Saccharomyces cerevisiae S288C: one gene and its partners. The gene in region 1 interacts genetically with each later gene. Each region holds a gene or a part of one and is shown in the gene's direction. Other genes may lie near its edges.

The links.
Region 2: of PEX29 (region 1) and PEX25, extra expression of one rescues a mutant of the other (dosage rescue), as found in Saccharomyces cerevisiae (one study listed by BioGRID).
Region 3: mutations in PEX29 (region 1) and CVM1 together harm fitness more than expected from each alone (negative genetic interaction), as found in Saccharomyces cerevisiae (2 studies listed by BioGRID).
Region 4: of PEX29 (region 1) and PEX28, changing one enhances a phenotype caused by changing the other (phenotypic enhancement), as found in Saccharomyces cerevisiae (one study listed by BioGRID).

What each region holds. Positions count from the first base shown.
Region 1 is NC_001136.10:1,414,710-1,418,823, reverse strand, and holds PEX29 (Pex29p), read left to right. Parts: upstream 1-1,949; coding exon 1,950-3,614; downstream 3,615-4,114. Other genes in the region: alkaline phosphatase PHO8, read left to right, coding at 1-274; DIG2 (Dig2p), read right to left, coding at 454-1,425; SNM1 (Snm1p), read right to left, coding at 3,653-4,114. UniProt on the Saccharomyces cerevisiae protein: Involved in the regulation of peroxisome number, size and distribution.
Region 2 is NC_001148.4:336,891-340,383, reverse strand, and holds PEX25 (Pex25p), read left to right. Parts: upstream 1-1,763; coding exon 1,764-2,948; downstream 2,949-3,493. Other genes in the region: CAR1 (arginase), read right to left, coding at 1-440; YPL113C (glyoxylate reductase), read left to right, coding at 3,241-3,493. UniProt on the Saccharomyces cerevisiae protein: Required for regulation of peroxisome size and maintenance. Has a role in the import of peroxisomal matrix proteins. Imports RHO1 into the peroxisome. Also promotes peroxisome division and biogenesis.
Region 3 is NC_001145.3:573,165-578,083, forward strand, and holds CVM1 (Cvm1p), read left to right. Parts: upstream 1-1,901; coding exon 1,902-4,352; downstream 4,353-4,919. Other genes in the region: YMR158C-A (uncharacterized protein), read right to left, coding at 30-167; ATG16 (Atg16p), read right to left, coding at 1,312-1,764; type I HSP40 co-chaperone HLJ1, read left to right, coding at 4,554-4,919.
Region 4 is NC_001140.6:395,637-399,523, forward strand, and holds PEX28 (Pex28p), read left to right. Parts: upstream 1-1,614; coding exon 1,615-3,354; downstream 3,355-3,887. Other genes in the region: SKG6 (Skg6p), read right to left, coding at 1-1,023; MTC6 (Mtc6p), read right to left, coding at 3,632-3,887. UniProt on the Saccharomyces cerevisiae protein: Involved in the regulation of peroxisome number, size and distribution.

The sequences.
Region 1 (4,114 bases):
AATTGGCTGGACCACGCATGGTCACAGCGCAGTCGACGTCAACATATATGCATACGCCAATAAGAAAGCTACATGGTCATATGTCTTGAACAATTTACAAGGCAATCACGAAAATACGGAAGTTGGCCAGTTCTTAGAAAACTTTTTAGAATTGAACCTGAACGAAGTCACTGATTTGATTAGGGACACCAAACACACATCAGATTTTGATGCTACAGAAATAGCTAGTGAAGTACAACATTATGACGAATACTACCATGAGTTGACCAACTGATCCTATCTAACTCTCCCTCTTTTTTCACATATTATTTAATACGTTATAATTTATTTGAATATATATATATATATATATATGTATATATACTAACCGCATGACACGTACTGTATCGCATTTCGTTTCGGAGTGCAGGCGAGTTTTAGGTGCATTCTATAGCGTGAAGAAGTGAAATCTCGTCATTTCTTCAAGTTATGCCATTCAGTCCAGATTGTTTCACATGCTTTCATATAGTCATTTTTGTCGTCGCGAACTTCAAATTTGAAAACATCATCATACAGAGAGATTTCTCCAATAATGATCCTTTCTTTGTCGTTGTCATCATCGGCATCGTCGTTAAGTGAAGCGCCCTCACTTAATGAATTTTTCGTGACAGAGCATTCAATGTCTTCATCAGTCTTACTTATGATTGGGTCTCCGTTGTGGTGTTTGGAGACAAAGGTTCTTTTTCTCGATGTCAAATCTTCCAAGTGTGGTGATCTACCAGCCAACTTCTTCCTCTTTGCATGGTAGTCGGCTGGTATTATACCATTATTATACAAGGGGCCGGGATACATCGGGGAATAATAGCCTTCGTATGCGTGCGTTTGTGTTGGAGTTGAAGAATATGGGTAGCATGGTACTGGTGGCAGTCCAGTATATGGATAAGGGTAGGTTGCTGTCATATATGAATTGGCCACTGAAGGATGATAATCTTGATTCGTAGGAGCCATCCTACCCATATATCTGACCCTAAGGCTATTTTTGTGCTGCGGAAATCTTGTTATGTTTGGTGGAGCACTTTTAGATCCATGCAAATGAGAAGATGCTTGTATATCGGAAAAATTTAGCGCTGGAGGTACCCTTTTCCTCTTTAAAGAATGATTCAGCGACTTAAAGGGTACGGTTTTCTCTGCTGGAGAAGTCGTAATGGTAGGAGGCTTACCACTATGATCTTCCTCTTTTTGCGACAGCCTAGATATGAGCAATTTTTGATTTTTTTCGATATCCCTGGATTTTTTGATCTTCGAAATCATTTTCTCACTCAATCTGTCTTCATCAAGCCCTGGAGATACTAACAGCATTCCCAGTTGCTGCAAATTCCTGGGATCATTTTCCTGAACAGTTGATATTTGCTCTTGCTGTGGGTCTTCTTGCTCTTCTTTATTCATAATTTTCCCTCTTTGCTTAAATATTCCTGCAGGCTTAACTATACCACATAAATACCACTGCAAGCAATAGAAATGAAAAATAACATTAATAACCAAAATTTAAATGGCTGTATGTTTATTGTTTATTTGATCTGCACATTATGTAATTATTGATAATTTAATAGACGTGTCCGCCGGGTGATGAAGCTGTGACATATCACAATTTTATGTGTACCTGTTGTATGTATACGCTCTAATGTCCGATATCATCATACGTGCATCACTTTGTAGCCTTCTAGGATGGCGTCTAGGTGAATACCGCCGTAGTGTTTAGGAAACTAATGTTATGGGTGGTTGTTGTTTCACTATCCAGTAATACTTTTGTGGTGAACTTAAGAAGCTTAGGGGTTACCCCTTCTTCTTGAACTAATTTTAAGAAATAACAACGAGGAATAGTGTGTATTTTTAATTACTGATCAGGCCGCATGAATATACTCACCTGTATACGTAGCAAAATTTCAGTCTCCTACTGTATATACGTCTAGATGGACTCGGTGACAAATTTTTTCTGGAATGACACCTATAATGCTGGTACTCCAACTAGATCAACTCTCAAGGGGAAGAAAGTGCAAAATGGCATAGATGGAAAAAGTCAGGCAAAGAAAGAGAGCATATCTAGTGGTTCTAGAACTAGTGATCCTACACGTGGTAGTCTGCCATCTTCCAGTGGACAGCCAACTAGTGGTGGCGGTTTTCCCTCGACATCAAACATCCAAAAGATGATGGCAGATACCCTGGTAGAGAAGATAATCAAAATGGCATTACCACCATCTTCCAAAACGGCTGTTGATACAATTCACCATCGTATGGTTGCTGGTAAAGAAAGGCCTAAGCTGTCTGTGCAGATCACGAGTAGGAATTTTATACAGATGAACTCGAGACTAGGGGTACCATTCATGATTATGGATGAATTAATAAAGATATTAAACTGGACTAACCCAGCGTATACAGTATCTATCATGTTCTTATACACGCTCATTATATTGAAACCTTTTCAAATGCTTTCTTCGCTCCCTATATTCTATTTGTTATTCTGCGTAATGGTCCCGCAATACCTTTACATTCATAAGCCAAACCCTACAAGCTATCTAGATAATAATCAAACACCAGCACAAGGCCCACCTTTGCGAAGACCTGAGGTTCCTAAACCAGTCCCTGAACTGAGCCAAGAATTTGTCTTAAACCTCACGGATTTACAAAACCATATGCTGCTATATGTTAAATTCTACGATTTTACTTTACTCATATTACAAAAGTTTGCATTCTTCACCAACGAGGCTATTTCGTCGTTTTATTTTATTGTATTGTTAATAATAGCAACATTAAATTTTCTGTACATGGATAAATTTATCAAGCTCATTCCAATGAGACCCGTACTGATACTGCTAGGTTGGGGTTTTTTTATTGCCTCGCATCCGTCCAATCGTGAATATTTGTTGACTAAATTGAATTCGGAGGAGACAAGATTAAAAACTTTGACTATAAGTACTAATCTGGAATCTAAGATTTTGCAGCATTTGAAACTCATTGAGGCTAGGGAGCACCGACTTGTTATGATCTTTGAGATCCAAAAGTATCTTCCTGAATACAAAGAATGGCGCCCAGTTGGATTCTCTGATGACGATTATTCTCTTTTCTCTAGTTTGAGAATATACCAGAGGCGTATTGAGGAAAATTCAGTGAAGTCATTAGAAGAAATTGAGCCACCTAAGGATTGGGAATGGGAAGCCAATTCTCATTGGGTGCTTGATTTGGATCCAAAAGAATGGGTAGAGGACGAATTTATTCAGTATGTCGAGATAGATTCAGAAACAAAATGGGTCTATGACCTCAATCTTGATGGACAAAGGGGCTCATATAGAAGGCGAATGTGGACCAACAGTTGCGTGCGGAAAAAACTGGATTCTGGTATTTCTTCAAACCTTGGTGAGGAGGAAGTAGTTAATCCATTGAGGGAAGAAACATATAGGCAAGGCGTACATGGCGTGACGAAGGGTTCAATGAGTGGCGGTCTAACTCACAGTAGTGATGATGACCGCGCTGATGAGGAAAGTATAAACGGTACTATTCCTAATCTCAACAATATCGACGCGGATGCATCTTATCCGTCAATCGAAGAGCTAACAGACACTCTCAATTCAACTATATAAACTTGATTTGTTATACTATATGTTCACTGATGATACAGTCAACTTTTCATAAAACTTTCTAATGACAGTGACGAACTTTTCTTCTTTTCCATTTTTTTCTCTTGATTTCTTTTCGATAAAAGGTTTGTAAGTGAGTTCAACTTTCTCTTCTTGGATCTCTCCTTACCAGTACTAGTTTTACTCTTTTGGGGCTTCTTTACCGCGTACGAAACCTTCCCGCTGCTGGTACTATTGATCATCGGACTAACATCTTGTCCAAATGTTGGAACAACGAACTCAGATTTCCACTCAAACAATTTAGACTTTTCACAATTCAAGCAATTAACCTGGATACATTTTTTTGGTCCTTCCATACTCTCGCCGCCAAGTTCGTCGGAGTCACCTTGCTCGGTATTAGTCGTTAACTGAAGACTTGCGTTAAAATTAGGAACGTAAACACACCCGCAATGGGAGCAAAATTTCCCACTTTTCAGTTGTTCTGGCAGCATGATTTGATATCG
Region 2 (3,493 bases), on another chromosome or scaffold:
GCGTCTATCCATAAAAGACCAGCATCGGGGTATTTGTCCAAAACCGCGGATACAGTACCAATGGCTATTGAATGATCACCACCCAAGGTCAAGGGGAATCTGTTCGCCTGGACCACTTTCGACACGGAGTTGTACACCAACTTGGTGGCTTCACCAACCAAATCTGCTCTTTTAGCCTTGACACCGTCTATCATAACAGAGGAACCCCCAGTTGTGGAGTCCTTCTCCATTTTCAACTTTCCCACAAATTGGGCCTCGTCCATTGAGGGCTCTAATTCCGTAGACCAGCCCAAATCCTCTATGCTTGTTTGCAGACCATGCTTAAGCATGTATTTAGGGCCCTTCTCGACACCAAGCTTACCCTGACCGCCGCTGAATGGAGCCAGAACGATGGACAATTCGCGATTTTTGTAGTAGTTGTAATGAGGTCCTGTTTCCATCTTGATAGTAGTTATTGTTATTGATATAGTTGTTGTTGTTGTTTCTGCTAACTTTGAGAAAACATATACAGACCAAGAGAAGAGAAACAGTCTTAGATCTTGATAGAAAGTGGGCCGCAAGCTCTGCTTATATACTCTTTAGACCCCTCGGCGGCTACCGCTAAGTGAAAAATTCAGCGAGCGGCGATGCGCTGTTGATTGCCATTAGCAGCACGGTGCTTTGCGAAGGGCAAGAGCTAGAGACTATTCGCACTAGCCGATATTTTCGCGGCGTCTCGGCTTCTTGTAAGGGATAGAAAAAAACTGTTAATGGAAGGAGCAATCAAAGGGCGGGGATCGCGGGCGACGGTGCGGCATCGAAAAAGTGAAGAACCAGTAAAAATAGAGGTGGGGTTTATCAGTGTTGATATCTAAGTTTATGATAAACATTGATGAGTCAGGGATTGCACCCGTAGTTCATCCGTATGATGTGATGTTGTTTGTTTTTGTTTCATGTAAGGTTGCTAGAATAGGGTCCTGTCAGACAGTATGCGTAGCTTTACCATCATTTCGCCGCTATATGTGAAGGGCCGTAAATTGGATATACGGTATGTAAAAATCAGCGGAATATTATGATGAGAAGTGAGAAAATTGAAGTCAGTAATCTTGGATATTCAGAACTGTCAATCCTCAGTTTGGCCAATTTTATTTAATTTGTTAATAGCAGAACTTACCGGGCGGTCCAGTTTTGCCTACACGGTTTGGTATAAAGTTTAAAAAGCATATATACGAGCTAGATGAAGTATCCAATAGAGTTTTTCTCACGATGGTATTGGAATAGCTTCCTTGAAAGGTAACTACATACAGTGTCGAGGAAAAATAGACAATTACTTAAAGGAGTAAATGTTACTATACCTGAAAGAAATTAAGAGTCGCCATGCGTAGCAGTAATCACAACCGACATCGGGGAAGAGTGAGGGGAGCAAATTGGATGTAAATATTTTGGTGAATTTGCTCGGTACGCGCTAAACTCACATGATTTAGCAGCGCCGTGGCGCAGTGGAAGCGCGCAGGGCTCATAACCCTGATGTCCTCGGATCGAAACCGAGCGGCGCTAAATTTATTTTTTTCTTTTTACTCTTCATTTTTTTTCCAGGTCGGTGATAGTATATGAAATTCCGGTGGGATTGGGCTTATTATTTCAGGTTATATAATTTTTGAAATACGTTTTTCTTCTTTCTTCTCAGAATCATCGGTAATTTGTATGCTGGAGAAAGTAACAAATAGAGTCGATATCCTCAACTTCCCTGTAAGTCTTCACCTATAGAAACTGGTCGTAAAACAATGAGTCAGTTTGGCACGACAGATATCGTTTCCGGTTCAGAAACACCACCTTATTCTGGGGCAAGTTACCAGGACGCCCAGGATGACAATACCCATCCACATTCATCAGACGCCGGTGCAGAGAAGTTCAGTGCAGGCAGTGGAAGCGAGTCGCATACTGAATCCTCGAGAAGTGATGATGAGGATTCTCAAGCAAAAACAAAGATGGTGGATAATATTACCATCTTAAAATATATATTGGATTCTCTATCTGGTAGAGACAAATTAGCCAAAATTATCAAATACGCTCTGGATATATTAAAACTGTTTATCGAAAAGTCTAAGCGAAATTTAACTGTTTTGGACCCTTCCGTATTAACGTACTATACCAAGATTTTGAAAAATCTGACTGTAAAAGTCGCACTAAGGCATCCAATCACGGTAATTAAAGTACTTCTCCTGTCTCTTTTGAGAAATTTTGACAAGAAAATTGATTTTATCAGTCAACAATTAAGTACTTTTAGATATATTTTAAGGTTTGGCGGCACACCATTCCGAGTGTGCAGTTTCTTGGGGAAATTCAATAAAACCAGAAAGTGCAACTTTCAAATTGACCAAATTAAGAAAATATGGTTTAATGAAGCTTCATTGAGAGAATTTTTGGACTTGTATTATGGTATCTTTGATGAATTAGACTTGCTATACAAATTGAAAATATGGACAAATAAATCATTCTATTCCTTTGTCAGTAGACAAGAGTCTCTTGCATGGCAATACGACATTCTTTTAAGCTTGAAGGACCATTGGCTCAACCTGCAAAGCTTACAGAAGAGACAATTAGAATTGGAAGTGCAACTAAAAGTTCAAAATAACGCGTTACTACTCTCACCCATACTGATGCATCAGGCCCATAAAGACGATGGCTCACAATCGCCAATTAGGAAACAGTTGTTAAATGACCTAAATGTTAATAACGACGCAGAGGTGTTAATACACAAACAACTAAAGGCCATCAAGGATGAAAAGACACTTGTTTATTTAGATATTGCAAGATTATCGTTTGATTGCATGGCTAATACATCAGATATTCTAAATTTAAAAACTCCAAAGGGAACGTATGCCGTTCTGTCCCTGGGATCCGGCTTAACTGGACTGGTTAAACTTTGGATAACAACAAAGAGGTCACTTTGCTCTTCAAAAGATTGATATATAAAAATATGTATACATATAGATATGTACATATATATGTGGCGAATAATGTTTTACCTCTGCATTTGTATTGTTATTTGATTCGTTGAATAAGATAGTTTGGCGCTCGGTTTTTGCTCTTTTTCTTCCGTTTTTATGTCATTGGGGTGGCGGTAGTCATTCCGTTTTACGGTATGTTTATTCTGACACTTTGACGCAGATCTAAAAGGTGGAGTGTGGAGTACAAATAGCTCTCTCTCAAATACAGAAAAATACTTGAGTGTACAAAAGTAGCAACCTTTAAATAACAATGATTACTTCAATTGACATAGCAGATGTAACTTATTCTGCCAAACCAAGAATTTTGGTGCCTTATAAAACCCAATGGGAAGTCGCCAGTCATCTTCCTGAATATCGCAAACTGGCAGAAAGGGTAGAATTCTATAAATATGAGATGTCCACAAAGGATGATTTTGTTAAATTTTTGGAAACTCATAGAATAAACGGCTTTTGGCTCACTGAGGAGTTTTTCACTGTGTTAGGAAACCCTTCGAGTTATATTG
Region 3 (4,919 bases), on another chromosome or scaffold:
CACTCTGTTTTATATGTGTCATTATGTTATTACATTATCAATCCTTGCATTTCAGCTTCGTCTAACTTCCATGACAGTTTCTCATACCTTATGTCATCATCTAACACCGTACATGATAACATACTGGTAGTGTAACTACTAGTTGATAGATGATAGTTCATTTTCATTCCAACAATTGTCGTTAGAGATCGCTACATAATCAACCTTTGCACTTCAGCTTCCATTAAATCTGATTAATGCTTCTTAATCTTTAAGCCATCTTCTTGCACCATAAATAGCAATGAAACCATTTAGTCTTCTATTTTCCACTTAAAGAACCAGGTTTTTGCATTTCAGCCATCTTAAATTAGACGACGGTTTAATTTCGGTGTAGTATCATAAAATTTCGGCCATCCTTCGACTCACGTATAATGATGGCCTCAGCGAGAGGATCAGCAACAAGTTACATCCACAATAATACGCGGAGTTATGAGATATTACAGTACCCTCCCCAAAAATATAAGGTTTACCGCAAGATCGTATCAGGAGAATGAACGGGTCTCTTAGTTTTTATCCACTATTCTTTCCACTCACGCCAATATACTAACCAATTGAAATGCTCATAACCAGAATGAACAGGCCGCATGCATTCTTTAGCCAACTTTCGATGAAAATACCCACTATGCAATGGTAAATTTCCGAAACAAAAAATTATACTTCAGTGTTCCCACAAAATAACGATATGTTTCTTTTCATTTTTCAATGAAAGCATGATTTTTTCCCTTCCAATGCCAAAATGCTAGTCCTATAAATGAAAAAAAAAGCTTTCTGCTATAAGAACAGCAAGGGGCATTTCAACTTACACATAATAGAAGGTGAGATAAAGACCATCGTGAATCCTAATAGAAACTGCGGGTTTCTTAGGATCATGGGTCGCGCAAAACCGCCAAGTTTACCATCAAAAAGCTACAAAGTTCAATTTACCCAATAGAATTCTAACGCCAAAGATTTGTAGTGATTCATATGAAATTTTCTTTATGCATCCAGTTATTACTATTGAGTTTCTCTCAAGATACATTCTCCAAAAAAAAAGCCTGTTCTCGCACAAACGACCTTAAGAAAGGTTTAAAACAGCTGTCACATTACATTATAGTAGATAAAAACACGAATGGCATTTTCTTAACTTGCAGGTGTACTCTCTATAGCATGTTTAACATATTTTCACCTCTTTATTGCAAACACTTTGGCGTTTCATATTCTGTCCATGTATATGCACCACAATGATTTTATTTTCTTTTGTATGCATTTTGTGACGATTTGACAACTGATGCATCATTTCGTTCCATCTATTTCGCTGTTCATGGCTTCTGTCTCTTTCTCTGTCTTTTTTAGCCATCTCGCAACTAGCTGGGAATGTTCTTTTTTCAGATCCGAGAGTTTTTGTTGTAAAACATTATTTTCAATGGTTCCACTAATCAATTCGTCATTCAACCTTTCCGTATTCTTATTTTTCAACGCAATAACTTCTTTCAATCTTCGTATTTCTTGCTCCTTACTTTTCAGTTCTTTTTGTAGAATTGCCAGTGTATTCAATAAAGCATCGTCATGGCTGACAATGTTGCCACCAATGGCGCCACTATTATCTTGAAACAACTCATTTAAATGGGCCTCCTTGTCGTTTCGATCTGTTAGTCTACGAATTAACAAATCATCCATGCTATCTGTTTGTGGATTGCTTCTTTCCTCCTTTGCTTTCTTCCTTTCTGTTATAATGAAATTGCCCATGGAATATGCGCCCTTAATACAGATTCGCGCAGGTTAATAACAAAAATCAACGTTAAATAAAGGTCAACTACAAACAGAATAAGTAAAAGCGAGCAAGTGTAGTAGCAATTTAGCACAACATATAAAACGCTATTATAATGGATGTTGTGCAGCAGAAACAGGATAAACAGTTGCAGCATCAAACACAAGAGCAGCAGCAGATACGAGAGGACCAGCAGGAAGTCCCACCCCAACGTCCACGACAACAAAACAGATGGAAACCCTGGTGGAATTCCACTGCCGACGATGAGCCAAACACGGGAAGAATTGCAGAATATCCTAATGGACAAGGAAGGAGTAGTCCGACAACGGATTTTCAAGATAGCGTGAACTCGAATAATGACAATAAAGGGATATGGTCTAAAATCGCTTCTTTTGCAACATCCAGATATAGAAGTGCCCCAATTGTTGTTGATGATAATACCCGCTACTCTCAACTAAACACTGAACAAATCAACTTCTTGGAAAATGAGGCTAAGGATATAATTTCAAAAAAGTCGAAATCATGGTGTTGGTACGAAGCAATTCCACATATATCAAATTCATCAAACATAATTGATTCCATAGATACCCCAGGAATAATCAGTGTCTCTGGTACAGGATCAGCCAAATGCCCATTGCCATTAAACAAATATCCTGGGGAGGGAGGTAACCCTGGGTATAATGTATTTATTAATGATTCTTTAATCCTACCATCAGATAACCCTTTGAATTTTCTGCACGTCCAACCACTAAGAACTAAGGTATTGAATACTATCAAAAATTACTATAACTTCCCTAATGAGCAACATCTCTATTTAAGACAAAAAAAAACCGCATTACTGAAGGATAAGAGAATTATTATAATATCCGTCGTGGGGGATTTACCAGAAAAGTATGAGCAGCGCTCATTAGAATCACAAAGATCGGCTTATTATCTTTCTAGAAAATTGTCACAAAATCTAGCGCAAGAACAACCTCAAAGAGTCTTGACCCTATCGTTCCAGTGCCCACTGCATAATCAAGATTTAATACCTACATATAAAGAATGTGTAGAGTTACTGAACCACTGGGCTCATCTTTTCAAAGAGGTAGATTCAATTTTTTTTGTGGGCGTTTATCACAGCGTTCCCTTAACTTTGCTATTAGCGAAATATATCGTGCAAAATAATGAAGTTCTAGAGTTTGATGAAAACACTACAGTGAGTGTATTGAGTTTCCAGTCATGTTTACAAGGCTATCGATTTTGGGACCACAGCACTGACTTTACTAGCAATAGTTATAATAACTTGGGTTCCAATTCCAGTACTAACGAAAATGATAGTAATGATCATGATTCAAATAATGATTTCACAACGAAGAGCCAACAAATCAAAGAAAAACAGTTATTTCAGGGCATTGACAAAAAGCAACAAGACACATTATCTAAAATCAAAAATTATAGGCGGATAGATTCTAGTGAATCTAAACTAGTTCAGGATGCATTGGATTGGCTCTTGTTCAATTGGGATACGTTTCGACTGACATTTTTTGGTAAGCTTTATGATAATTTTATGACAATTTCAGAAAAACTTGCTATAGATTATAATCACCCTAAAATCTTGAGAAATTTATGGTGCAATGGGAAGTACATGGGCATTGATTTAAAGAATGCTAATAATTTAAACCTTGATACCGATGATGAAGCAACTAGTAACATTAATGACGTCCATGTAAGGACCCCTAATTTTGAATCGAGATTGAAGATTCCCACCAACAGACTTTTCGAAATAACCTTATGGGATATTTTGATGATAACGGAGAATTTAGGATATAAACAATTTATTCCCATAATTAATTTACTAAGTCCTTTTTTTATTTCAAGGTCATTTAATGATTACACATTGCCTCCAAATATTAGGAAACAGTACCAGAACAGCAACAAAATCTGGCTTCAAGAAATGGACAGTAAGTGGAAAATGAATGGTCATCAACTCAATTACGACCAAAGGGAGGGTGAAAGTCTCGGTTCATCATCGGAATCATTATTGCCAGAGAATATTTCTACGGTAAAGGATTTTTTGCAGTTTGTGCAGTATCAAAACGAAAAATCTTCGGATTTCGTAAGGATATATTCAGACATTTATGATGACGATAAAGTCTATAAATGCTTTCTGTACAATACAATATTCACGAAAAACCCATTAAGTCGTAAGCATTTACGTTTAAACATCGACCTCGACACTCCTACAAGCATATTGAATACTGTCAATCAATATGATTTGGTATGGAAAATTCATGATTCCTTCTCCAAATTGATTCAATTGAAAAATTTACCGCAGCGAGAGATACCACATGCGTTGAGGCTCTCCATCTCATTAAACTGCTTCTTGGATAGTACCACGAGTACTTCTGGCCCTGTTTTTCAGAGGGACACCGTGGAAGCTTTGAGAAGATTAACAGAGATTTGGCGAACTTACCAGGATTGGTCTCCACCAACAAGGGGTTTGAAACACCTACGTGATATCCTGAGCGTTTTAGCCATGTATGACAACCCCAAAAACTTGATTAATGATGTTCGACGTACATAGTAGATTCGTATATAGCGGACCGCGTAACATATTATGGTATTTGTATAGTGGGTAACCCGCAGAGTAGGCTGGAAAGTATTCGTGAAGAACATAAAGGAAGCTGGCAGAAGTTCTTTTCATACACCTCTACTTCCAGAAGCCATAATAGCAGCAACGCTGTTTCTGCAATATAACTTGTGGAAGGTCTATAATAGGAAGAACATGTCTTTCACTGAGGATCAAGAAAAAATCGCGCTAGAAATACTGTCAAAAGACAAGCATGAGTTTTACGAAATTTTGAAGGTAGATAGGAAAGCCACAGATAGTGAGATCAAGAAGGCATACAGAAAACTAGCAATCAAATTGCATCCTGATAAAAACTCTCATCCAAAAGCGGGAGAAGCTTTCAAAGTAATTAATAGGGCATTTGAAGTACTAAGCAATGAGGAAAAGCGCAGTATTTATGACAGGATAGGTAGGGATCCTGACGATAGACAAATGCCATCCAGAGGTGCTGCTTCAGGGTTCCGAGGAAGTGCAGGTGGGTCTCCAATGGGTGGCGGATTTGAAGACATGTTTTTCAATTCA
Region 4 (3,887 bases), on another chromosome or scaffold:
ACGATCATTCATATGTTCAGCTTCTCTGATATCTTGAAGTTCATAATTATCATCATCCTTACCAAAACGCAGATTCCTTTCATGTGTCTTTTCTGAACTATTATCAAGTTCGAATTCGAACGCGTCATTGCTTGCAGACTCATTTGACTCATTCAAAACCTCAGCCTCTTCACTAACTGAGGACGAATCATTGTCTTCATTAGGAAATGTAAACTGCTTGTTGGCACCTTCTGTGGCAGAACCACGGGAAAGCTGGTTATTATGGATTGGGCTACCGTGAGATCGAAAGCTTTCACTCTCTTGAAATCTTGAAGACGCTCTTATTGGTGTACAATTCGAAAAGTTATCAGGATGCAAGGACGTTTGACTGGCATTTCTAGACTCGGCCGCAACTTTATAGCCACCTAGTCCATCTTCTTGTACTCTCATGGCAAAATCTCTCAAACTGTTAGAGTCGTTCGATTCCTGTGGAAGCTGAAACGGGTCTACGTACCATGACCGACCAATTGCAGGTGGGGTAGCGCTTCTCACATTATATTTACTACTATGCATGCTACCAACAAAGGGATCTGAAGGCGGCTGTTGCAAGGTCTTTTCCATGAAGTCTTGCTGCGAGTCGCTAGAGTACAAATGATTTATTCCAGGTGAATAATCCTTCATTGTCGGTAAAAATTCAGAATCTCCTTCGAAATCTGGATCATTATCTTCCTCAGCTTCCTTTTTGCTTCTCCTATACACAATGCAAAGTATCACAGCCAGAACAATGATAATGACACCTACTGGTACCGCAACAGCCACACCAACAGTTACACTGGTGCTGTGACTCGAATCTGTGGGTAATTGACATTGCTGTTTAGAGCCTGTACATTCAGCAGATTTGCTATTTTTCGTGCTGGATGCTGAGGAAGAAGATGAATCGCTATCGTCTCTTCTAGTGAGCCTTGCATAAGCATAAGACGCATCAGAAACACTTACCGTTGAAGTCACAGATATTAAACTTTCATGCATATGGGTGTGGTACATCGCGAACTATATCTTTGTTAGAACTATGTGACGCTATATGAGTTCAACGAAAAACTATGAAAGGTAATGAAAGAATGAAAAGAAGAACCAGTGAAAAATTCGATATGGATAAAGACAAGGCCTGCTCCCCACAAAAGCTTCACCATGAGTTTGTTATTGATTATTAAAAGTTCTTATTGAGATAAAAAGAGAAAAAATACGGAAGAAACCTTGTCTTTTCGATGAACTTTCCTATTTGGGTGAGCAGTTTTCCTCTTCGAGCTGCAAAAAAGTTTATCGCTTCGCGAAAAAAAAAAAAAAAAAAATTTAAAGAATTTCAAAACGTGTCAGGGCTACTAAATAATTGAACGAGGTCTATGAAATAAAATGGGCTGAGAAAATTTCAAGAAAAAGGAAATAAGTAAGGGCTATTTAGGGTTAGTGGAATGGCTTTTATTATTTCCGCCGCGATGAACTTCCCTTTTATTGTGACATGATAGACATAAATATGACGAATGCCTACGAATTGGAGTCATCAGTAGATAGAACCATAATGAATAAGATAAAAACGCAGGTATTTAGGGTGACAAAGAGATAATATATCTTCAGCAAATGAGTGAGACCAGCTCAAGTCGCAGGAGCGCGAGTAAAGACGCTGTCAAATCTTACTTCGCAGGCAAATACAATAAAGTGTTGGATTCTATACTGGAGGCAGAAGCAGCAATATCAAAATCGCCAACTGTAGCAGAAGATCTATCAGGAAGCTCCTCCAGCGGAAATTCTGAGATGAGCCATCCTTCGCTAACCGCCTCCTCCGCAACAAGCCAAGGCATTAGCAAAAAGGAACTACTCCAACAAATTGCTGGTTCATTATTCAGTACGTCCATTGAGCGCCTGAAGACTGCCCACTCATCAGAAGTATCAAGTACTCCGGAATATTCAGTAAATGATTCGTATGGAGAGCAAGAGTGCAGGGAGTGCGATGGTGTTTTCAAGTGTTCAGCGCACTTTGAGGGCGCGCCCGAATATTATGACGATGAAACCGAATCAGGGCCAGCTCTAGAACCTATGACTTCCAATAGTGAAAAAGATCCTTTTATCGATGTATTTTTGGATAAACTAATATCGAGGTTGGTCCCTGAAAAGCTACCAGAAAGAGAGCATTTTAGTAGCAAAACCACCATTGAGCATGATCTAGACACAGGAAGGGTTCCCGTGTTTTCAGCAACTACATTGGGTAGTAATTTCAAAAAATTGTCTAAGAAAATGGGCTCAATATTTGAACTCCAGGACTCCATAGTTCGACTGCTGACTTGGAGAAACCCTACCGGGACGGTGACGTCGTTAATATTATTCACTTTGATATGTTTTAATCCAATGTACTTGGTAATTTTGCCTATATTCCGCTTTGTCTATGGTATTGTAGTTCCTGGCTATGTGCGTAAACATCCTTTACAAAGGAGTATATATCCTCTGAAACGGAATCACGGATCATCATTGTTATATGATGTGTGCTATGAGGGAAAAAATGAGTACAGCTACGGTCAACAGTTTTTCTCCAAATCTTTTATGGACACTTTGGAATCAAGAAATCAAGAAATAGACGAAATATCAGAATTAGATAAAAGAACCGAAAACACAGGGGAATTGAAACAAGGAATGAAAGTACTAATTAATTTACGCGATATGCAAAACATGACCTCTGGTACCCTTCATGTTATTGAGGCAATCAATAGTTTTCTTCGTAAGTCTTCTAGTTTTCAAAACGAAGAGTGCTCCACTAAACGTTTTTTTACAGGATTTCTTTTGATTGTTTTCTTAAAAATATTATCACCATTTGTGAATTGGAGCTATGTATGTAGCATATTCGCCTGGTGCTTACTGATATATATGCATCCAAGAGCTCATCCAAAAATAATAAGTTTTTTCAAAACAGGAACAATGGGAAAAGAATACAAAAACTTGAAAAAAAGAGAACACCAGGCGCTTAACATGATATTCGATGAACAACCGGAAACTAAATTCATCGAGATTTTTGAAATATATAAAAAGGCCTTACTGCCGAACGACTGGAAGTTTTTCCGATATTCAAATAGAATTTTCGATCCTCAAGATCCGTATAGAAGAGCACAGCAATTCCCACCGGGAGTAGATTCTTTGGCTGATGTTATTCCCCCCACAGGCTGGTCATTTGATCCTAATTTTGAGTGGAAAATTGACAATGATGTGGATAGGTGGGTGGTAGAACGTGGGTTGAATCTGCCAATTACCGGCGAATTCTTATTTGATCCAATGTTCAAGAGGAGGAGACTGATACATCGTGTTATTAAGAATGCAACACCAGTAGCATAATGCACAATTGTTTTCCTTCACCTACAACCCCACCCCTCTTCTTGGGGAAATCATTGTATTACGTACTTTTTTCCTAAAGATATTAGAAAAAAAAATGTTATGTATCAATATTACTAGGTAAAATACAAAAATGCGCTTTTGAAGTATAAATAATACAGTTTTGTTTTAAGAAATGCTATATATGAATTAATAATAAATGAAACGAAAAAAAGCACTACTTGAGTTTTAATGTCGTAAAACTTGAGAAAATTCTAAAGTGTCAGAAAAAAAGTGATTTTTAAGAAGGGACACCTTCTAGCTCGGATTTAGAGATTTTATTGATAACTCTTCTCCAATTTTTTCTATTATCATAAATGGGGACCCTCAATACACTCAAGTAAACGACAATACACAGTAGGGCAAAGGAACAGACTGACGCAGGGACCATCATTGTTACGAAATTTCTCCTAGAAATGACTTTTTCATATGGGCAACTAGCATAAGGACCACCACTTACCCAACAATTGCTTACTGATATAGAGTTCAAATCTATC